Linked DNA regions of Coturnix japonica. The protein of the gene in region 1 purifies or fractionates together with the protein of each later gene. This does not show direct contact. Links are inferred from orthologs where the notes say so. Each region holds a gene or a part of one and is shown in the gene's direction. Other genes may lie near its edges. The genes, in order: ABCC1 and VDAC3.

Region 1 (11,661 bases):
TTCCAGCAGAGCCTTTTCCTTGCCCTTGAAAAGACAATTCAGATTCTAAATACACATAATAGTTCGACCCACTGGGTTATGAGAAAAATAAAAATAGGTTCTGGACAAACACTTAGCCTCTGGAAAACCAAAGTTCAAAATTCAGGACTTTCTGTATTTTGAGCACTCATATCCATGATCTTTAGAAGTTCATTTCTGCAAATTTTCAGAGGCACTTCCAGCTTATTCAAAAATGAAAGTCATCTGTAAATAACTCAAGGACTGTTTCTCTGCTGTACTATTAGGCAGAGAAATGGAGAGAGAGAACAGTGATTTGCACTGTCATGGCAGGAAAGAACCCCGGTAACAAGGCAGCTTCCCATGACAGGTAGGTTTTATATAGATGGCTCTTCATCTAAGCAGTTGAATGTGCTGGTGGTGGTAACACCAAACATTTACTGTGACATTTATTTAACAGTTACACAAAACAACTCTCAGTACCACTGCAAACATTAACATGCATGAATTTGTTAAAAAGAAAAAAATAGCCTTTAGTTTCATGTCATTTGGGAAAAAAACAGAAGTTCCTCCCCTGTCCCATATCCTCAGCATTACACTGTACAATTTATAGCAACTCCAGATGGAAAAGACTTACCCTCGTTTGTTTGCTGGCATAGAGATAAATATAGTCCTTGTTTCCAGAGAATTAAAAACAACTGCAATTTTCTTTTCAAATTGATTTTCCCATACTTATCTAGGAGCAGCAGGTGCTTGTTCTTAAAGGAAAATCATTCCAAAATTATTTCAAATACCCAACACAATAAAACTGACAAAAAAATATTCAGACACCAGAAAAGGCACACGAAGACATAAAAAGACAAGAGCAGAAATTATAAATATCTAGTAAACTTTTATTTTAAAATATAAAAGAAATATTTTTGGGACCTAATTCTAGACGCAGGCTTGACTAATCTGATTTTATGTACAGTTTTCCTTCTATCTTCTGGAGGAAGAACGCCTGTTTGCTAACAGTTTGTCACTGGCAGGAATAATGACTCAGTCTTCCTGTCTCATGGGGAGCTCCAACAAACAGAAATGATCCCACTGGACACAGTGGAGAAATTTACATAACGAAGAATTACATAAATTACTCTCCAAGAGCTTTACAGGATAAGTGAACATATAAAAGACACCATCATGTCATCTCTTTATACTCTGTAGAACAAGAGGCTCTTCAATGCTTGTGCCAGCCATCCTTCCTGGTTCTGGAATTCTATCTAAAAATGAAACATAGACATAAATGTTTTCACACACTTGGAAAGCCAAAGATGCAACCGTTATTAAGAGCTTTGATATGGAACACCATCATAGCAAACTCAGACAATTTTACAAACATGTTCTTTCAGCCAACCACATTACCAAAGATAGGATCTCAGATTGCTTCAACCCACCTCTACAAAGTCAGTTAACAGGAACATCTGACTGCAACTTCTATTGAGATCCCCGTTCCCTGTACCAGCTTATTTGAATATTCACTCAACAACATAAGCAAGAAAGGCAATTTCTAATAGTGAAAGCAAGATAGAAGTTAAATATGAGACTGAATGTTGAACATATGAATGGACTTGATTTGATAGTGCATACCCTAATCAAAATAGCCAGGTTGTATTTTAAAACCACTGCCTGTAGGTCTCCATGGGTATATTCCATAAACTCATACAGAAAGGAACAACTTCCAACTCTGCTTTCATATTTTTGTTTAGTTCAAAGAGTAACATGTTGTCATGTCTTACAATGAATCCTGAGGCTTGTAACTAACTCTAAGCAAATAAATCCCTATGTGATATATTACATTGGGATTAGCAGGGCAAGGTGACTGTGCAGACTCAGTTTCAGAACTGGGACAATTATTCACATATTTAAAAAAACAAAAACAAGCACTTGTTTAATAATGACATTTTTAAAAGATATGAATTTCTGATAAGAACCTTCTAACAAAAAAGATAAGTTATAGCAGCTTTGGTACCACATTTTATGTCTTCAGCCCCCTCTACTGGCAGAAGAGCAACGACATCGTCTTCATCAAATACTAAGAAAAGGTGCTTACTCTGTACTTCCTTATACTTCTTAGAAACTGTAATAACGTCTTAGACCTCAGATTTATTCAAATTTCTGGATACAATAGGAACAGGTGGCAGTGCTATGATGGGAAAACAATTTGTTGGGTCCACATTTAGATGAGTTTTCAGCTTTTCACAGTCCAAAAGAATTGAAAGAATAAAGCTAAACAATTTGGGTTTTTTTTTGCTTCCCTTTAGTATAACAGATAGCTACAGCTACCGCATGGTAACAAGAGCTTCACAGTAACTTTTACACTGCAAAAAAATTCTACACATTTTGCTATCCCTGCTTTTCAAAACTGCCTGCTTTCTAAATAAAATATCCATTCCAGTAAAATATCCATCATCTTTCCGCTGGGCAACCAGATTTGTATGCAGTACATTAACATACCAACAGAAGAGAAGCAGACCTAAGAAGCTGTGTCAGTTGGACACTTATTTAAGTAAAGGAACATAGAGGTAGTTTTAGAAATCAGAAGTTAGATTTTGTAGGGCTATTCTTAAATGAATATATGAGCAAGAGGGATGGTCAGGTCACATGGTTTAATGGTATTCTGACATATAAACAATGTCCTACATGGTTTAATGGTATTCTGATGTATAAACAATGTCCTACTGCAGAAATTTCTCTATAGAAAAGGTTTCCTTGCACAGAGAAGGAAGTACCCTGTGCGCACTCACGTGTTTACACAGTTATCAGCAAACCCAGCTCATAGAAAATGAAGTCACAAATAAAGCTCCTGTGAAGATGACCCTATACTCACACCCACCTTTCTGATTCCTCTCAGTAGATGGTTTGGCAAAGTTCTGCCTTGGATAACTCAGCAACGACACCTTTGGATGAGTACTCTGGGTACTTTCTTCATTACCACGATGTAAGAAATGCGATATAATTCCATATAAGAGGGGTCTGCTCAAGGCAAAAATCACAAAAGCCGTCTATGAGATATATTAACTACTGAGCATTTGAAAAAAATAACCGAACAGCTTCTCCTCAGAAGTTCTTACATCCTAATGTTCACTTCTAAAGAACATTCAGATATCTTCAGAGTAGCTATTTAAAATTCATTATGCTAAATGCAATTATATAAATAAGCACAGGCACAAGCCACCCCTCAAGACCACCCCCTCCCCATAGCTTGCACTAAGGGACGTTCTCAGCTGAACTCCAGATCACTTGCAAGCAAAGAATCAGGGCATACCAAGAACAGGTACGGAGCCATGTTGTCATGCAAATTAAACATGTGATCAGTGGGCTATTGGCTTGAGCACCACCACGTATCCCAAAATACATTTATTACTAAGCATGAGACAGATTGTGTGGGCCCAAGATATAGGGCATCACCAAACATGTCTAAACCTGCTTCTGTACCCTAACAAACCCAGTTGCATCAGAACACTGTGAATTTATATCTTATCTCACAGCGCAATAATCTTTTTACAGCTTTGCGTATCAAATCAATAATGTGTAAAGAACAGGTTTTCTTCTGACTGAAAAGACTGAGGTGGTATGAGGCTCAGCCACACAATTACAACAGCTAGTGAGCATATTCTATAGCGTTCACAGAACTTAATGCTACTTTTGAGGATGTTTGAAAACAGCCCCATGCTTGACACTGTGCGCTTGAACACAGCATGGTTAGAGCAGCTGTGTGATCCAGTCATACTGAGCTGGTGACTGAACATTTCTATGTGATTTATACAATCACTGTGGAGACACACGTGCAGGGTACATCGTGTGTTCCCAAATCAATCCTTACACTGATTTCCCATTCGCATCTTCAACGATGTTCAGCTCCTTGACCAGAAACTGTCTATCCAAGGGCACTTCAGGCTGGCCAGCTTCTGGAAAACAGATCATACAGCAAATGTCATTACCTACCACATCTAAGGACAATTACAGACCTTAACAACTTTAGATATAAATTAGAGCTACCAGTTAAATGCTGTAGCTCTCAAGTCATGCAAGGTGTTTTGGCTTTGTAGGCTGCTGGCAAACTGTTTTGCTCTTCCATCATCTGATCCGTCAATGTAAACTCTATTTACCTCAAGGATAAGCAACTGAGAACACATTTTCTTAAAAACTAATGGTATAATTTGGTGTTACGCTGCAAATAACACAGCAAAGGTTGTTTGTATCCTGTTTGTTTCCAGGGTTAGCCAAGATCACACAGCCTGTTCCCACCTGATTGCATGGCTTCAGTTACCCAGCCAGGCGGTGGATAGTAATGACAGCAGCGATGACACCACGCACAGCCCAGTACCTGCAGTGAGCACAGACGCCGCGTATTTGTACTTGTTGAACTCCAGGTATTCCCGGATCAGCTCATTGATCAGCAGGTTCTCATCAGACAGCGGTGGCCGCGGTTCGCTTTGGTCATCCAACGCGTTGAACACCTCAGCTCTGATCCTGGCTCTTATCTGCCCCAGGGCTCCTCTTTTTTCCAGCGTGTCCTTTAAAACTGTCACCATAAAAACTCAGTTAATATAAACCCAAAAGCGCTGGAGCAGCATTCACCCCCCTGCAATACAAACACCATTCCCGGATACTCGTGATGAAATTAAGAAAACCACACCCGTGTACGGATCGCTGTGTGACAACACTGTTAGATACAGATCGGTATTGCCTACAGGTGTGGGCGTTGAAGAAACATGGGGGATGCTTCAAATGCTTTTCAATGAGCAACAAACGGCTCCGCCACTCCCCAAGGCGAGCAGCCAGCAGCCTGCAGCCCCGTTAAGGCTCGGAGCGACCCTTGTCTGCCCTGCCGTCCCTCCCGCAGCCCCTCAGCGCTCCATCCACCTGCTTTCAGCTCCGCGATCGTCGCCATCTCACAACAACCACCGCCCTGACCCGGATGCGGCCAACGGCCCCCAGCGGGCGGGCACCGCGCAGGCTCTGAGGCGCTGACTGGGCGGGCTGAGGGCGGGCCGGTGTGACGGGAGCCGCTCCTAGCGCTTGTGGTCCCTTGTGCTGCCGGGATGTCCGCTGGGAAGGGCAGGCAGGGGTAAATAGCGAGCAGGGTAATAGCAGGCAGCACATGTGTGTGCGGAATTACTCTCACATTGGTGTCCTGTGTGCGCCTGCTGACTGCTCAGCGAGCGGAGGCTGAGGAAGGGCGCTCTGGTATTGCTGTAGTGCTCTCCCCTCTAATTTCAAAGAGTATTTATTAGTGTGCTAAGAGAGTCCATCCATAGAGAGTTTTGCTCGAGGTCTCTCAAAAATGAACGTTCCACAGACCAAAAACGAGATTCTGTTTAGAAGGACCCGCCTGTAACACTGCCGGGGCTGTGTGGGGCTGTGGTGGCTCCGGGGCAGGTTTGGTGCCTCGCCGTGCTCTGAGGAGCTGACTGTTGGCTCTGTGGATGATGAACCATTTCCCAAATCAGTTCAAATCTTTGCTGTTGATTTTTGTTGGAGTTTCTAATAGAGGTGGAACCAACTGGAAGAGAAATAACTTGTGTTGTCGTGCACAGAGGATGAGTAGAAATCTTACAGATTGTGTTATCTATTTGGCAGTATTTCTCCTGGCTTCTCTTATCAAGTACTACAAAAAAATTCTTCCATCTTATCAAGTGGAACTGGTGACTTTTATTGATTGTGAGAGCTATTAACTTTATAAGCACTGCAGATTAAACTGGAGGAAAGGCAGCGCTGACAGGCTCGGGGCAGCAGGAGATATGTCAGCTATTTCCACAGGTGCTGTAGTGAGCATCAAGGCACCAAAACCCACCCGTGCACCCAGCAGGGCTTTAAGATGAATGTAGTGTACAAAACAGGGCAGAAACCCTTAATAAAAATAAATCTGAGGAATCAACATGAAGGCAGCGCTGTGGATATTTTAACAAGGTGCAGCTTAGGGTGTAAAAGAACATTGTAAAGCGGCGTTCTGTCTCTAACTTCGATGGCTGCTCTGCAGGTTGAACTGATGCACTGAAATGCGGAGCGAGAGACCATCGATTTGCACCGCGGGGCGGCGGGTGGCTTCACTAGTAGCGTATTTTAGTGCGAACTGCGGGTGGAGCCGTTTTGGTGAAGCTGTTTTGGTTCAGTTTCAGTTCCCGCTAGCAACAATTAGAAGTGGCTCAGGGTTTTGAAACCAGTCGAACTGGTTCACGTTGGGAAGTCAAACGCTTGAAAACGAGACGAGGTTTTGCTGCGGCTTTTCCCCGGTCGGTGCCGGGGCTCCCGAGGGGCAGCGCGGATCCCGGGGCGGTTGGACCCCGCGGGCAGCGCGTGTTCGGTGCCGCGGGAGCCGGGGCGGCAGTTGCGACCCGCAGGTGAGCGGCAGGAGCCGAAGCTGTGCCGGTATCGCCGAGCGGGAGCCGAGCCCGTTCCTACTCTGACCCCCCCCAGCCCCGGAGCGGCCCCGCGTGGCACACACGGCCCGGCAATACACACCGCCTGCCCCCGCCTACACCGAGGCGTGGCCGCGCGGCGCCGTCGGGGCCCGCATCCCCGTGACCGCGGAGCCAATCAGGGCCCTGCGCCGGCGCCGTCGGCCGCCGCCGCCCGGGCACGGTATAGAGGTGCGGAGTGGGAAGCGCAGCGCTGCCGCGGCGGGTCGGCTCGACGCCACATGGGGATCGAAAGCCTGTGCGGTGCGGACGGCTCCGAGCCCTTCTGGGTGAGTGAGGGCGGGATGGAGCCGCGGAGCATGAGGGTGGTCTCCGGTGGGCGGTTCGTGCGGGGGGAACCGAGGAGCGAGCTGCGGCCTGAGGACGGGAAGCGAGATGAGCCGAGCTCCTTGTGCGTGGAGCAACAATAACAGCGGGCGGCTGCTGGCGGCACGGAACGGCGGCGTGCTGCCCTGGGGGGAGGCCGAGGACGCTCTTGCTGCAGGGCAGCGGTTGTGTCACGTTTGTGTAGCACTGTTTTGGGTCGTCTGTAATGATCAGCGCTGAGTGCGACTGAGGGATGTGCAGCCTTGTGGTCCGAGGAGGCTCCCGAGTGCCGGGGCAGCGGGGGGGGGGAAAGCCTTGTGCGGGGCGGAGCTGGAGGATGGGGGAGGTTTTGGGTCGTTGTTTGAGGTGATGCCGGGATGCGAAGAAAACACGTGGCTGTTGTCGGGCTGTTAAAAGAACTTGCGGCTGTTGGTCGGATGTTTGCAGATAGTTGTGAGCTAATGAGCTGCATTCACCAGCTCAGGAGAGATGAGATCATGTCATCAGATACCGTTGTGCCACTTATCTCAAGAACCGTTAAAATATTACTTAGCAAACACTATAAAAGCCATTAGCACTTGGAGGTGTTTGCCTTTTACCAGCGGATCGAAAACAACCCATTCTTATATTGCTGATATTAATATCTTTTTCCAGTTGATTTTTCAGGTTTCTCAAAACTGACCCTTGAGCTCCCATCAGCTGTTCTGGTTCTGGTGTCTGTTTTCCTGAGATCCAGGCCTTTGTACAGGAAAGATTTTAGATGCCGCGTGTTTCAGACTTCGATTTATGGAAGAACTTATTTGAGATTTATGAATAACTGTGGAGCTGAACCATCAGGTGGCTGCAGGAACTGGGCTGCCATGCTTGCAACAGCTCATTTGCGTGGCTTTCTGATGACAGCGTCTCTTACGTAAACAGGCTTTTTGGTGTGTAATGTGGTTATTTATGAAGTTCTTGGCACGTTGTAAATCTGTTTTTTTTCACTCTCTGCCCTGGTTCCCAAAATGCAGGCAGTTTGGTGATTTGTCATCCTGCTCCGAGCCACGTGGCGCTGGCCTTTCATTTCATGAGTAAAAGTTCCTCTGGGTGTGGCTGCTTGGTCTCTGGATTCTTCTAATCCTTCAGAACAATTATGAGTTCTCACTGATGCAAGATGTGTCTGGCAAAGTATTCTCCTTTATAGAACTTGTCCTGTCTATCCGCCTTGTTCTGTTGTTTGCTGTGTTGGGAAAGGTAGAAATGCTGCTATTGGCGGCTTTGGATACTCGGGGTGTATTTTATGGTATTTCTATAGCAGCAACAGTTATTTGAAGCCAAAATTGTAATGGCTTTCCACAAAATGCCTGCGTGTAAGCTGTGTTTATTGGCCTTCCAGATACCACTTGTGTGCGTGCTATGGACTGTCCTGTCTTGTGGAGTGTGTGCTTCCTGTTCCCAGCACTGCTTTGCACTTAGGATACGGGTGACTGGTGTCTTTGCATTCTTGTGGTCAGCTGTGGTCACATCAGATGTCCTGGTGCTGGCAAACCCCGCTGCTATCAGTGAGGAGATGTGCTTCCTTTCATGCCTGGTGTTGAACTTGGGACAACTCAGTTTGAAATTGCAGAGGAAGCTTCATAGGCTGGAAGGACCCAATGCACCTTTAGAAACTGTGTGCTAATCTTCTTAAACCTTGCTGCCCGGGATTTTTCTTGTTTGTACACTCAAGGAATGTTATTGTTGAAAATCCTTGTTTGAGAATTAAACAGATGGATTTTATTTAATACCCGCTGTGAAAACAAAGCGGCCCCGTTTGCATCTTCTTCAGTGCTTTGCTTCCTCTCCCTGTTGAACCTCTAGTGCCCAGCGTGAGAACTTCCAGCCCAATCAGTGGAACAAGCACAACTTGTATGTGGAACTTCACTGTTTCTTGTCATTCTTTGAATCACAGTTCCTTCTTGGAAGGGTGCTTTCTCATCCTTGTGTCATCATAGAGTATCTCACTGATTGTTTCATCCATAACATCAGGTTGTAGCTGTGTAAGATACTGATAACACTAAGAGATTTTGCTTTTATTTTTAAGTGAAAACTTGTGGGTTGGGGGAAACATTCAGAGGAACCTGCATTTCAATGTATTGTCTGTTTAATAGGAAAAGTAGGCTGTGGTCTGGAGTGCTGAGATCGCTGTGCCTTGAATGTCACAGGAATGGGAATGCAGTGTGTGCTGTGAAAAAGAACTGTGAGATACGGAAGAGCAAACTCAAGCAGTTCCGTACAGTCCCTCTCCAGCTGCTCTGCCAGCCTTTATGTGCAGACTGTTATTCATTAGAAGATGTTTGTCAGTCAAGTAGAATCTGAAATGTTGGGGTTTTTGCTTCTACCTGCAGGTAATTTTATTGAAAGCGAGTTTTGAAGGAAGAACAGCGTTTTGTGGAAGGGATGTTTGATGATCTGAGTTGTGTGGCTCATGCTGTCATGTATTAGCTAAGTGCTAAATCAGTACATCTCTTGAGTACCAAAGCTTTTTGCACTGTAGATGCCTTCAGTGCATTTCCTGAAGCGTAACATAACCTAGGAAATAACTGCGCAGATAAGATCGTTACTTTGTAATGTATCAGTAACACATTTTTATAAGCAGCGATAGCTCACAGTAACAGCAGGAGTGTGCCATGGGAGGGTGCTGGTGTGGATATCAATGTGAGATGGCTGCATTCAAGCTGTCACGTAAAGTTGGGCAGGTCGGCAGAGATAGCTTGGGGAGCCTGGGTGCAGGTGTGTGTCTGCGGTTCATACTTAACAGGCTTCATTTGCTTTTAATTTTTGTGTTTGTTTTCTTCTTCCAGGCTTAGCTGAGTGGGAGGTCGCTGATATCTTAGTGGTAAACAAAAGGCACAGAAGAATAAGGAAGTTAAATACATATAATAGCATAAAGCGGCGCGATAGATGCATATCACACACACAAGTCTAAGTTATTCACAAAGACAATTGATGATTTGGAAAAACAGGGAGAAGAAAGAGTGATGTTCTTGCAGGGATGTGTAGTCTTGAGTTACAGAAAACAAGAGATTGGTGCTTAAGTGGAGGCAGAGTTTGGACCTAGTTTAGGTTAGTAATAAGATTTCTTGGTTTTCAAACCTTCTTCACACTGATTATTTCTACACGGGTTTCCTTAGTGCTGTTTGAAGGCACAGGTTGTATCTTGTAGTAATTACTGCCTGCAGTTGGTTGTAGTTGGATTGTACTTCAGAGTGTTTGTGGCAGAGCAGGGAGGCAGCTGGGGGTGGTGCTGGTGTGAGCTTGGTTCGAAGTTGTGAATTTAAGTTTTCCCTTTAAATTATAAAGGAATCAACTTGATCAACTGAAAACCTTCGTGTGAAGAATTGAAATGAGTGCGCAGATCATAAAGTACCTGCATTTCCTGACCTAAAAAGGTCACGTGTGGGCAGGATTTGCGACAGAGGAGGAGCAGAAGGTTAAAGCCTTTACACAAGATGGTGCCTTTATTATAATTAGCAGCTAATTGTCAGGCTCTCATTGCTCGGTTGTGGCTTCATCCACTGATGAAAGCCAGATGCAACTTGTCGGCTCTCTCACGTTTAAGCCTGAAAAATGAGTCTTGGTGGTGGTTGCTCTCACAGGAATTATTATTACCTCTGTTGATTCAGGGTTGATCGGCTTAGGGGAGGTACAGGAAAACGAACCTGATGCTGTGTTTTAGATAGAAATTTCCATAACAGATTGTCTGTCATTTTATGGCTGTCATTTCAGTGTGACTGTCTCAAGGTTGCTCAAAGGATTTAAACCCCAGGGGTAAGTTGTGCCGCTCCCAGCAGCCACGGTGCAGTTTACAGGGAAGCACTGTGCTATACTCAGACTGAAGGAGGTTAACCAGGGTTGCACTGGAGTCATTGTGGGTCACTTCTCTATAAAGCTGTCGGCAGGGACTGACCTTTCCCTTACTTTTAATAGAGTTAGAATTCCATGCATTACCTTTCCCCCCCCCCCCTCACTGTTTGTGCCTGGTGGGAGCTTCAGATAAAGTTTATTAAACAACAACAACAAGGAGGTGCTAACAGGGTTATCTTTCTTTTCCTGCATCCTATTAAATTGATTTCATTTCGAAAATTTACAGATAGATAAATGCTGCCCTTTTGATTCTGAAGCTGTCATTGGTAGACAATAATTTATTGTCACACGGTTGCATACTGTTTCCTGGTACACAAGAATCATTGCACCTAGAAAAGTATTTTAAACTGCCAGCTGCTTCTGATGAAATCTGTGATAAGTTTATCCAACCCACAGAAATAATGCCATGTTCCAGAGGCTTTTTGGCTTGGAAATTCCACAAGTGCAAATGTTCCCTTTTCTGGCAACTTGTTGGCACCAGCTGCTTCTTTGAGCCTAAAGGGAAACAAAGGCAAACCGTGCTGTTTTTCTGCCTTTGTACGCATAGTTTCAGCTGATGCTGTGCTATATATTACAAGGGATTTCATCTCATTGTTAACAACAGGAAATGCTGTTTTTTGAGATTTGAAGAAGGAGCCGCAGGCACCAGGACTGGAAGGTGGAAGCCTTATTTTTGAACTACGTTGGTAAATCAGGTCTATGTGATGCAAGCCATTGCTGCTGAGAACTTAATGTTAAAACCTTTTCTAGTAGATACAAGAAACTGAGGGAATGAACGAATGAAGGCGGAGAGCTGGAATTGATTCTAGAAGCACAGGATCCACTGGTGCAAGCAGTACTTGGTCCTGATAATTTGGATGAGGTGTGCATAGTTCATACAGGTGATATTAACTGTGGCTGGCAGCCTGCACCTCTTGCACACCTGTGCACAGCAGGCGTGAAACTGAGCAGTGTTGGTCTCTGTATTTCCGCTAATGAGAATTGTAAAATGTGCTGTTGGTCAAATAGGATT
Region 2 (11,574 bases), on another chromosome or scaffold:
GGCAGTTTGAGTGAACTGTGATGTCCTTTGTAGTGCTGTAAGGTTCCTGCTGTTCCTAATTGCGTGATGCCTTGCCTTTTTTGCAGTCCTGCTGCCGCTAGGAAGTTTGTAGAGGAAGGAATTAAGACTTTAGAAGGTGAGTATTGAGTGTAACTTTGGGTCCTCAGTTTATTCTCTGATAATGTTTCTTATGTTGCATTGCTTGTTTCACGGTAACAGTGTGATAGCAGATAAGCCTTTAGTTTGAGGAAACTGTATTGATAAAATAACAACAACTAGCTAATCTAAATGTAGTGCACAGGCTAGAGGCATTATGAGCCTGTTAGAGCCATTATTGAGCAACCTGTTAAAAATCTCTTCATTGAAGTTGCTATTTGCTCGTTGAATATTCTTCATTTGCATCATCTTTGTGTTGTTGAAAACGCACTGTAAGAACTTAAGTAACTTTTTTCTTTTTTTTTTTTTTTTTTTAATTTTCTAGATCTAAGAAAAAATGAGCACAAGCTGACCCATCACCAGCGAATTGGGTTGAAGTAAGCTTTTTTGGCTTCTTGTGCTTGGCTTTTCTAATAACTGCTTAAGACACCAGAATGTAATGTTGGTTATGGGCAGGACCGAGGTCCTGTCCTCTCTATATGCTCTCTGTGCAGGGACAGCTTTGGTGTATCTGATTCAGTGGCAGGGATGTGGGGTTTGTGGCAGAGAGACAAACTGCCTGCTAGAGAGTGAGAAGTGTTATGCAGCCATTTGTTTACTTATTTATTTTTTATTTATTTATTTTCCCCACTACTCAGGTTCCATACTTAGTATGCATCTTTACATGTGTGAGTATTCACAGGAAAATACTGTTAAGGAAGGTAGTATAAGATTACCCACCTGACCTGTCCAGGTTTCCTGTGTGTTTTTAGCTTGTGTATTGTCCTTGGGTCTGCTTCTGGCACTGTGCTCAGATGTTACCCCAGCAGGAATGGTGTTCAGCTCTCTGCTGGCTTCCTTTTGTCCCTAGTTCCGCTTCAACCCACCCGAAGTGGGACTAGGGGAAAGTCCCACATCTGGGAGAGCTATTCTGAAGATGTAGAGATTGGGTTGGTTCTGTGTGGTGAGAATGGGGAACTTTTGGTGATATAAAAATTCTATTGTTTCTTCTGATACCACTTTTAATTAACTAAAATTTTAAGTTGCTCCCCATACCCCTCTTTCAGACACTTTTACTTTCCTATACACAGATACTTTGAAGATTTTGAGAAAAGAATCCCAAGGGAAGAAATGTTGCAAATGCAGGTCAGAAAGTCTTTGTCAAAGACTTGAGGCATGGAAGGCCAATGAACAACTGGCACCTTGAAACATTCATCTTTCCTTATTCTGTAGGAAATCGTGCTGAAAGAGGTAAAGAACTTGGACCCAGATTATATTGCTACGGTCTGTGGCAGTTTTAGACGAGGTTGGTACGCTGATCTTCTGTGTTTTATTTTGGGCAAAGCAGCAGATCACGATAATACATGCTTTTCTGGAGAGTAAGTTTATGCTGAAGTCCAGCTTTTCCTGTTACTGTTGTCTTTAATGGGTTAGTGCAGTAGTCAGACACCTTGTTTGTGCTTCATTACTAGAGAGTATAGCAGCACATGCTGGATGTTCTCTGAGAAATGTAGTGATAGCAACTTCAATGGAACAGAAAAGGTTTTCTTCCTTTCAGATCAGTTTTTCACATGTATCTGGAAAATTCACTGACTGTTGTTCTCTACAAGAAATATGTGTTTATCAGAAGAGGTTAGGAGCATTTTTATCAGTGTTCATATATACTTCTCATCTTATCTGGGAGGAATTTTCTTTGCTTCTTACTTGCCCAGGTGCAGAGTCAAGTGGAGACATGGATGTTCTCTTAACCCATCCAACTTTCACATCTGAATCATCCAAACAGGTGTGTTTCTCTGCTACCATGTTTAGTATTGAGCAGCATTTCCAAAAGAGTATTTTAAATTCAGATGATATGCAGCGTCAGACTTGCATTTCAGCTTCCTGCATCTTTTTGTAGCTGTTGGATCACCATTCTTATTTTGAGTAATTAATGCATGGCTCTGAGAAGCAGTTTTATGTTGAGTTCTCAGCATAGTGTGTTTGTTCTCATCCTCAGTCTTCTTCCCCAATTCCTCCTGAATTAATGTACTATACAAAGTAGAATTGTAACAACTATGTGAATAAGGCAGCAGTTAAAGTATCTCCTTAGGTAGCCTCCTTTTCTTGGAGGTGAAGCAGATGTCCTGCTGCCCTTATAGTCTCTTGTGGCTACCTCTGAGGAAGGCCTAATGATAATCCCTTTTTCCCTGTTGCTTCTATGGATTGATTGCAACAAAATTGAAGACTCAAACCAAGAAGCAATTTTTGTCACTCTAAGTGGAAACAATCTGGCATGGATTTCACTAGAAACTTTTCAACATTGTAATTTTATTAGTTCTTTTTCACTGTTGCTCTGATTCTCGTCCTCTTGGTCAAATTTCATGTTGGTATTTCACATAAGTTCATGTGGTGTCCTATGGTTATGTCCTGCAGCTAAACAAGTAAGATATTCTTGTTGTAAGTGAAGTAATTTTTTCTGTGTTGTTACTGTTCCCAGTCAAAGCTTCTGCATAAAGTTGTAGAACAATTGGAGAAAGTCCACTTTGTCACTGATGTGCTGTCTAAAGGTGACACCAAATTCATGGTAAGACCTTTCAGGGGATGTGGTGGGCGTTATCTCTCCTGACAATGCATACAACAGTGTTTGGGCTGCTGCTGGTGTGGGATTCTTCGTATTTTTTTCCTCTTAAAAACTCGTTGCAGTTGTGACTCAGTGAATCTTTTGTTAAAATGGAAAATAATTCCTGTCATCCTTGCTGTTATATGACTGAAGAAGTAATTATGTGCTGTATTGAGTTACAGTCCTCTTATCAGCTGTAGCTCCCAGCACTGGTGACGGCCAGCTGTTCTAACAAAACATTTGATTGGCTAGATAAGAATTTAATTTTACTCCAGGCTAACTGATGATTAAATACAAGCTGCGTGCATTTGGAAATGTGTGTTTTAAAAGTTTGTGCAGCACTGGGGCAGTCAAGAACAGTGAAGCTCTATAATGTAAGCCTATCTCAGACCTGTTACACTTAATTTTAAATTTTGCACTTTCTTTACTTCCCAGGGTGTCTGCCAGCTGCCAAATAAAGAAGATGGAGCATCTTATCCACACAGGAGAATTGATATTCGGTATACTTTCCAATAAAAAATTTATCTGTCTGCTGTATAATAGACATTCATTTAATGTTCTGCATCCAAATCTCTGTTTCCCTGTTTAGAAGAAGGCATTTACTAGATTTCCAATTACCTTGTATGGAAACCACTGTCAAAGTGCCCGTGTCTGGAGCAGGTTATTAGCAGGAATGCTGTACTTAAATAACAGCTCTGTATCCAGTTTCAGAATTGTGACCTACTTGACAATACTGTTTTGCCATGAATTCTTGGCAGCAATGAAAGCATCGTAACAATAGGTTACGAGTCATGTTAGATGTGTCATACCTTTCTCTGGTAATGTTCTTCATTCTTGAGTTAGGGCATCTGGAAAAATGAAATAGTCAGAGTTGCAGAATGTGTGTGTTTGAGCACAGTTCTAGATCTGTTCCCTTCCAAAGTGGCTGAATTCCAAATGGCGTGTAGCTTCATATTTGTCCTAAATATATACTTCTCTTCCATTTTTATTCCAGGCTTATCCCTAAAGATCAGTATTACTGTGGTGTACTGTATTTCACAGGCAGTGATTTATTCAATAAGAACATGAGAGCCCACGCTCTGGAAATGGGCTTCACAATCAACGAGTACACAATCCGTCCCTTGGGTGTCACTGGTCAGTCTGGGCTTTTAAACAGTGTTCTTTCTAGTTGCATGTTTTCTGTGATCCTCTCCTTTAGTCATCTTCTCAATTGGAAATCTTGGCAAATACTGCAGTTAACAACATTATTCACTCTGTCCTTCCTGGAACTGTAAAACCATTTTAGCAGAGGGAGACAAGCTGCTAATGTACAGACAGAATTGTGGAACAAAATGAACACATTGGGATGCATGATCTGCTTGGTCTTAACTGAACTGCAGCTTGGATTTGCTCTGCAATGCACAGCACACATTTTCTCATTCTTTTAACTTGATTCATGTCTTTCAATTGTTTCCCATTGGAGGGTGGGGGGGGGGGCTGACTGCACATTGTGTGTGTCTATTTTAATTGTATAAGCATTATAGCCGCGTAGTTAATTATTTTTCTTGTGACACTGAGAATGATTACCTAAATATTGTGTGAAAAACTATGGGTGGTGGTGGTTCTCTGTGGGGGTCGGGCTTTTCTCCTGTGTGTTCTTTGGGGGGAGGGTACTCATCAGTTCACTTGCAAGTATGTTTTGCTTACAGTGAAATCGATTGTCTTGATCTTGCAGTGCTTTTGGCAGTGCAGGATTACATGGAATTTCCACCTTTCCAATAGCATCTGTAATGTGCTTGCAGGAGTTGCTGGGGAGCCCCTACCAGTAGAATGTGAGGAAGACATCTTTGACTACATCCAGTGGAAATACCGGGAGCCAAAGGATCGGAGCGAATAACTGCCTGTATTTGTAACTGAGCTTTCGTGGTGTTTTGTGAACGTGCATATTGAAAACGTGCAGGGTCTTTGGATGTTCTGCAACAAATGTGCATTACTGATCTTTAAAAGGAGGGTATTTGTAGTAAAGCTTAAATCCTTCCTGTGCTTTAGAGAAAGTGGATGAGAACCCAGTGTGAAACAACTCCCTGAAGGGTGTTCATAGTCTGTTTTTAGCTGTGCTTGTCCTGGTAGCCTGAAATACTTCCTGCTGTTTTAAGCTATAGCCACCCCCTGCCCCTTAAATATGTCACACTGCTGCTTTTTGTCTTAACATTCCTAATATTTTAAAATAATGTCATTTGTTCCCTGTCCATTCTTTCCATTCAGCTTGAGTATTGTAGAGCTCTGCAGGCTCCTGTGTAGATACAGATGTTTGTGGAGGGGGGCTCTTCAGATGAAATAAACTATTTACCTGAAGAAAGAAGTTCACTTTTCTATCTCTCCCTTTTCTGCTCCTTATTGTTCAGGGGTCCGTTCTTGCATTTGAGGGGTATGATTTAACTGGGCAGTATTGGTGATGGTTGGACTGGATGATCTTCTAGGTCTTTTCCAACCTTGATAATTCTGTGATAAACTCCTACAGGTGGGAACCCTCCTTCCTGATGAAGGTGCAGATGCTGTTTTGCTGTAAGGTGTGGTTTCCTTCTTAAACCTGAAGGTTCCAGAAACCTGGAGCAGTAAAGCCCAAGCAAGGTCTGATTTGGCTGTTACTCTAAAAGCACATCCACCTGCTGTGACTGCAGCCAACTAACAAAGGCTTTTAGTAGCTGACCGTGATTATACACCTGTACTCTTGCTTTTCTTTTGTATGAAGCCTGGTAGTAGAAACGCATTTACTATATTTACTATAGTCTCATAGTCTCGTGCGGGTTGGAAGGGACCTTAGAGATCACCGAGTCCAACCCCCGGGATTCGAGCCTCTGTGTAGCAGAGCGGCACTTCTACCACTTGCGCCACAGGGGGGATTCGAACCCAGGTCTCCGGTGTTGCAATGCGGCATTCCTACCACTTGCTCCACCGGGGCACATACTATGATATGATTTACCGGCTGCGGGAGCGGCTCTACGCATGCGTAGAAAAGCCGGGGCTCTACGCGTGCGGAGCGCGTCACCGCTCTGCGCATGCGGAGCTCTACGCATGCCGACCTCCGCGCCTGCGCCCCCCTCTCGCTGCGCATGCGCACCCAGCAGCGCTTCGGCTTCCGCACGCAGAGCGTTTCGCAGCGCGGTCCGGCCGGCAGGGCGCGGTAGGGCTGCGGGGCCGGTCCGGAGCTGGAGCTGTGGTCGTTGCGGCCCATAGTCCCTTGGTTGGGTAGGGGCTGGCTGTGGTGTCGGTGGGACGGGAGGCCGTGAGGGCGCGGCCCGTCGCTCCTCGCGCTGCGTTCTGCCCATAACGGGTGTTTTTCACCGGTTTAGCGACTCATTTTGATCCCTCCGGTTTGGACAGGAAGGTGGTTTGAGCAGCGGCCGCGTTTAGTGCTTATTAATCGGCATCGGTGCGGCCGCAGCTCGAGTGCTGTGTTCAGGTTTGGGCCCCTCACTGCAAGAAAGACATTGAGGCCCTGGAACGTGTTCAGAGGAGGGAAACAAAGCTGGTGAGGGGTCTGGAGCACAGGCCGTATGAGGAGCGGCTGAGGGAGCTGGGATTGTTCAGCCTGGAGAAGAGGAGGCTCAGGGGAGACCTCATTGCTCTCTATAACTTCCTGAAGGGGGGTTGTAGTGAGCTGGGGCTCGGCCTCTTCTCTCGTGTAATCGATGATAGAACTAGAGGGAATGGTTTTAAGCTGCGCCAGGGGAGATTCAGGCTGAACATTAGGAAGTATTACTTTTTGGAAAGAGTAGTCAGGCATTGGAATGCACTGCCCAGGGAGGTGGTGGAGTCACCGACCATGGGAGTGTTCAAGAAACGTCTGGATGTTGTGTTGATGAATATGATTTAGCCGGGAAGTATTGGGCTAGATGATCTTCTAGGTCTTTTCCAACCTGGATAATTCTGTGATTACATCAGAGGAGGGAGCTGCAGGCACTCTGCTTGCTGTAAATCCTCCAGGCCCACAGTTGTGTCAGTAGTTTAATTTCCTACTGGAGAAGAGTCTCCACGCTTCTTTTTGTGTCTTGTCTTGTTTTCTAAGCTGGACGTTCTGCTGTGAAATTCCTTTAAGAAAGGCCATAGTTTTACATGCCTCCCTTTGGGTTTTGTTGTCCATTTAAGTCACAGCAGCAGCGTGTGTTAGAAGGTGCTGTTGGATGTACATGCACAGCTTAGAAATGATTCCAGCTTGTGGTTCCTTATCAGTGAGGCACACAGAGGGTACCTGCTCATAGAGGTCTATAAATGCTTTGGACATAGGTTAGATTTTGTGCTGTTTAAATTTAAGATTTTTGGCACTTCCATTCTGTTTCAGATCCAATGGCTGCCCCACCATCATACAGCGACTTGGGAAAGGCTGCCAGGGATGTATTCAATAAGGGTTATGGTAAGTAACATGACTGAGCTTCCATGTTTCTCTTTTGTCTTAGGCAACTTGAGAACCACAACAAAGTCATTCCTATATCAGAGTTCCATTTGATTCCTTATGATGGGAATTCAACAGAGGGATGGGGAGAATTTTCCTCTTAGAGGAGAATTCCTCCCTTGGAACCAGAGGTTTGAAAGTGAATTTTGTTACTCAGAGGAAATGGTAACAGTATTGATTGGTCCCAAGATAGCAGAGATACCAAATGATGGATGTTAAGCCTGGCCAGAAACGAAGAACAGGTATATCTTATGACATTTATTGGTAAATTCTGGCTGTTAAAACCAGAAATTATGAGCCCAGCCACTCTGAATTGTCGTAGCTTCTTTGGTCATTCATCAGTAATAGCAACATCTGTTGAAATATGAAAATAGGCTGTTTCTAGCCAGTGTTCTCCATTTGTTGCACTTTGGTTGTGTAGCAAATAAGTCTTGCTTGTATACTGCAGTGAAACAGATGGTATATGCTGTTCTGTTTTCAGGATTTGGGATGGTCAAGTTGGAGTTGAAGACCAAGTCTTCAAGTGGGGTGGTAAGTACTGGGGGCTTTCACCATCCCCAGCAAGGGCAAGCTCCTGAACTGGTGGCAGTAACCTGCCAGCACATGTTGATTCAATCTTCTGCTTCTTATTTGAGGATGACTATCCCCAGTTTGTTTCTACAGTGGGATGTGGAATTGATGTAGTGGTACTTCTTTCCCTTTGGTGCACACAGATTGCTACAGAATGGCAGAATTATAGGGACGTCAGGAGATCATTCAGAACAACCCCCTGCTAAAGGAGGCTGCTGGCAGAGGAGGTTGCAGCTGGAAGCATCCAGGCAGGTTTTGAATATCTCCAGCAGCCTGACATGGGTGGCAACACTCGTCAAGGCAGGGGGTTTGGAAATGGATGGTCTTTAAGGTCCCTTCCTGCCCAAGTCATTCTGTGGTTCTGTGATTTCACAGTAAAGCTGCCAAAACAAGAAATTGCTTTCATAATTTTGGCCTTTACCCACAGTCATACATATTTTATACTGGCTAAGCTAATTCTTATAGTGAGTCTCAACTTTGAGTGCCAGCTCTTATTGCTGCTCTCCAATTGACAGGTTTATGCTGCTTTTCAGGTGCTTTTAACCATATTTGCTTTAGCCTCCCTCCCTCTCTTGCATTCTTATCACATAAATGGTGCAAGTCACTTTCATTTCTTTGGTACTATTTCATGATGTCTCACCTGAGCTCTTGATAGATTACTTGCATCGTGCACTCAGCAGATGAGGCCGAGGATCTACAACTGCTGTTAGTTTATGACATCTCTGAATATTTGTAGTTTTCCTGCCACAGAGTTATGATTCTCAGCTAAATCAGTAATAGTTCCTTACACTCTGTACATGGCAGAACATGCCAACTGATATAAGTTTTTAAAATGGGTTTTTCCTTCTCCATGCAAATTTCGTGTTGGATCCTTTTCAGCTGGTAAGAATAGTGACTATTTTGGCATGTTGGCTTTTGATTCTTTTGTCGTTGACATTTTTGTGGTGCTTACCATTCATCTGCCTGGTGGTTTTGAGCAGTGCAATCTGTGCCATGAACTTTGCCTTGTGTCCATAGCGCTTAATCTTCTGTATGTTGCCTGCATGTGAAGTCATTTGTCATCTCTGGCGATCTGAGATAAGAGCACTGTAATAACATCAGGAGGAAATCGAGATAGGTATGCTAATGGTATGTTTGCTGCTAAAGGTTTTATGCTCAGTGGTGTTACTAATGAGCATTCCGCTGCCATATGGGGCTTTGAGGATTGAAAAGAGGTTGGGTACAAAGCATGGAATTGAATTCATACTTGGGAATTAACATTATCTCCATTTCAATACATAAATGTTTTGTTGTTTTTCTTCTTTCATGTGGGTGTGGACAGTGCCATTGTTGTTTTCTGTTGGTTGTAACTGTTTCACAGGTTACAGCTGTTTGTAATCTGTGAAATGTGGTAAGTACATCATGTTCTTGAGGAAACAGCCATTGTGAACTGAAAGGTCAATGAGAAGCTGAGCTTGACTGCTGAGTCAGGCTGGAATGGGATACAAAGCCAGAATGAGTTTGGTTTTCAGCTACAGATAATCCAAGTAATGCTGCTGCGTGAAATGGCCTGATGAGAAGACTGGTTCAGAAAGTTGGGTTGATGGCAGTAGATGTTAACTGTGTGCTTTCTGCTTTCAGAAACAGATTCGGTTGTGGGAGATGGTTGTCCTTTATATGTTAAAAAAAAAAACAAAAAACTTTCACAACCTTCCTTTTGCTTGATCTGAGAATCAAACTGATGCAGATTCAGTGTCTTTACACTGAGTTTGTGGAAGTGATGTTAGAATGGTTTGTAGTGAATTGATCTTGAAGGATAGTTGTGCATCCCGACTTACGTTCTGTGTTTTCACAAGGTGGCCAGATACACCATAAAATTTCTGTGCTATTGTAGTAGTGCGGCTCAGGTGAACCTAATGAGGTTCAACACGGCAAAGTGCAAGGTTTTGCACTTGGGCTGGAAGAACCCCAGGCACCTGTACAGGCTGGGAGGAGCGGTCCTTGAGAGGAGCTCGGCAGAGGAGGACCTGGGGGTCCTGATGGACGAGAGACTCAACATGAGCCAGCAGTGCGCTCTGGCAGCTCGGAAAGCAAATGGGATCCTGGGCTCCATCAGGAGAGATATGATCAGCAGGGATAGGGAGGTGATCGTCCCTCTCTACTCGGCTCTTGTGAGGCCCCATCTGTTGTACCGTGTCCAGGTGTGGAGCCCTCAGTACAAGAAAGACATGGAGATTTTGGAAAGGGTCCAGAGGAGGGACAGGAAGATGATCAGGGGGCTGGAGCACCTCCCCTATGAGGACAGGCTGAGGGAGTTGGGTTTGTTCAGCCTGGAGAAGAGAAGGTTGCGGGGTGACCTCATTGCAGCCTTTCAATACCTGAAGGGAACTTACTCCCGGGAGGGGAGTAAACTCTTGGAAAGGGCTGACAATAGCAGGACATGGGGAAATGGTTTTAAGTTAAAAGAGGGAGGATTTAGGTTGGATGTTAGGGGGAAGTTCTTCACTAGGAGAGTGGTTAGGCCCTGGAACAGGCTGCCCAGGGAGGTTGTGGATGCCCCGTCCTTGGAGGTGTTCAAGACCAGGTTGGACAGGGCCCTGGGCAACCTGGTCTAGTAAAGGTGTATGTTTGGTGGCCCTGCTAGGCAGGGGGGTTGGAACTACATGATCCTTGAGGTCCCTTCCAACCCGGGTCATTCTGTGATTCTGTGAGTATATGTCATCTTTTCTTCATGGTGTGCTAGGAATGTATGCTCATATGGCTGTGTGCTGGCTTACTGCCTTGGACTTCCTGCTCTTTGCTTTATGCTCTGTACATTAAACACTAAGTAGGCCATCTTAAAGTTATTTTCAGAAGAAATGTATTTATTGAGATTTTGTGGCCCTTAACAAGAAGCTCTGATGTGTAGGAGCTGCTCAAATAGCATAGGACGGGGTGTTTGAAAACAGCGTGGAGAATTTGATGAAGAAAAATCAAAGGATCCAAGCAGCTTTGTATTTCAGATGAATATCTTCTTGTACGTGGCTATGGGGCAGTGAATCTATGTGAAATATAGAACAAGTTGAAGAATGTTGGAATAACAATTCCAGCTTTGGAACAGTAAAAGATAGCAAAGGTTTTCTGCTTTTTGGTGGGGAGCTTAGGGGGAATGTTGGTGAATAATTTAGGAAAAAAACGTGACAAAAGATCAAGGAGGGGTACAGGGGAATGAGGTGCCATGGCTTTGTGTACTGGGGCCTAAGAAAGCTCCAGGGCTATATCAGCACATCTTAGTAAAGGACATATTCAGAACAGAGATGCTAAAAGGAGTGTGCGTTTTGAGATGCAAAAATGACTATTTTACTTGTGGATAGGGAGGAGTGTTCTGTTGAAAGGCCTGAAGTTAGTGAGTGTTTGCGTGCTTGCATTTGACAAGCAGACAAAGTATCCAGAGTGATTAAACTCATGTTGTCCTCTTGGCAGGAATTTACTGCAGGTGGTTCTTCCAGTACAGACACAGGCAAGGCTTTGGGTAATCTAGAAACCAAGTATAAGATCAAAGACTATGGACTCACGTTCATTCAGAAGTGGAACACAGACAACACTTTGGGAACAGAAGTTTCCATAGAGGATCAGGTAAGAGGAAGTCAATACTCTGAAAATGTTTCTGCAGTTGGTATGAGAAAGTAGTATTGAGTGGAACAGAAGGCACTGAAGCAAAACTACCTGAAGTACTTATGCTAAATTTTAATGTTTTAATGCAGAAAGCTGTAAGTTTGCCTTCAGACTGAACATGTTTTGTGAGGTTGAAGAGCAAGATGAGCGTTTACAGCTTGGGGTTGCTTAAGCAAATGGTTTCTAAGTACCACTCTTAAAATAA

The links.
Region 2: the proteins of ABCC1 (region 1) and VDAC3 fractionate together in Homo sapiens (co-fractionation; 3 studies listed by BioGRID). This does not show direct contact. The link is inferred for Coturnix japonica from reciprocal best matches to the Homo sapiens genes ABCC1 and VDAC3.

What each region holds. Positions count from the first base shown.
Region 1 is NC_029529.1:7,455,328-7,466,988, forward strand, and holds the start of ABCC1 (multidrug resistance-associated protein 1), read left to right. Parts: upstream 1-6,240; 5' UTR 6,241-6,679; coding exon 6,680-6,727; intron 6,728-11,661. Other genes in the region: CEP20 (lisH domain-containing protein FOPNL), read right to left, coding at 1,180-1,256, 2,870-3,009, 3,860-3,944, 4,364-4,561, 4,903-4,930.
Region 2 is NC_029537.1:4,103,960-4,115,533, reverse strand, and holds the start of VDAC3 (voltage-dependent anion-selective channel protein 3), read left to right. Parts: upstream 1-5,766; 5' UTR 5,767-5,788; coding exon 5,789-5,897; exon of another isoform or gene 5,898-5,962; intron 5,963-5,982; exon of another isoform or gene 5,983-6,101; intron 6,102-7,055; coding exon 7,056-7,127; intron 7,128-7,647; coding exon 7,648-7,697; intron 7,698-8,615; coding exon 8,616-8,618; intron 8,619-11,177; coding exon 11,178-11,330; intron 11,331-11,574. Other genes in the region: POLB (DNA polymerase beta), read left to right, coding at 87-136, 482-533, 1,227-1,281, 1,369-1,441, 1,848-1,918, 2,612-2,698, 3,170-3,234, 3,729-3,868 and 1 more. UniProt on the Homo sapiens protein: Non-selective voltage-gated ion channel that mediates the transport of anions and cations through the mitochondrion outer membrane and plasma membrane.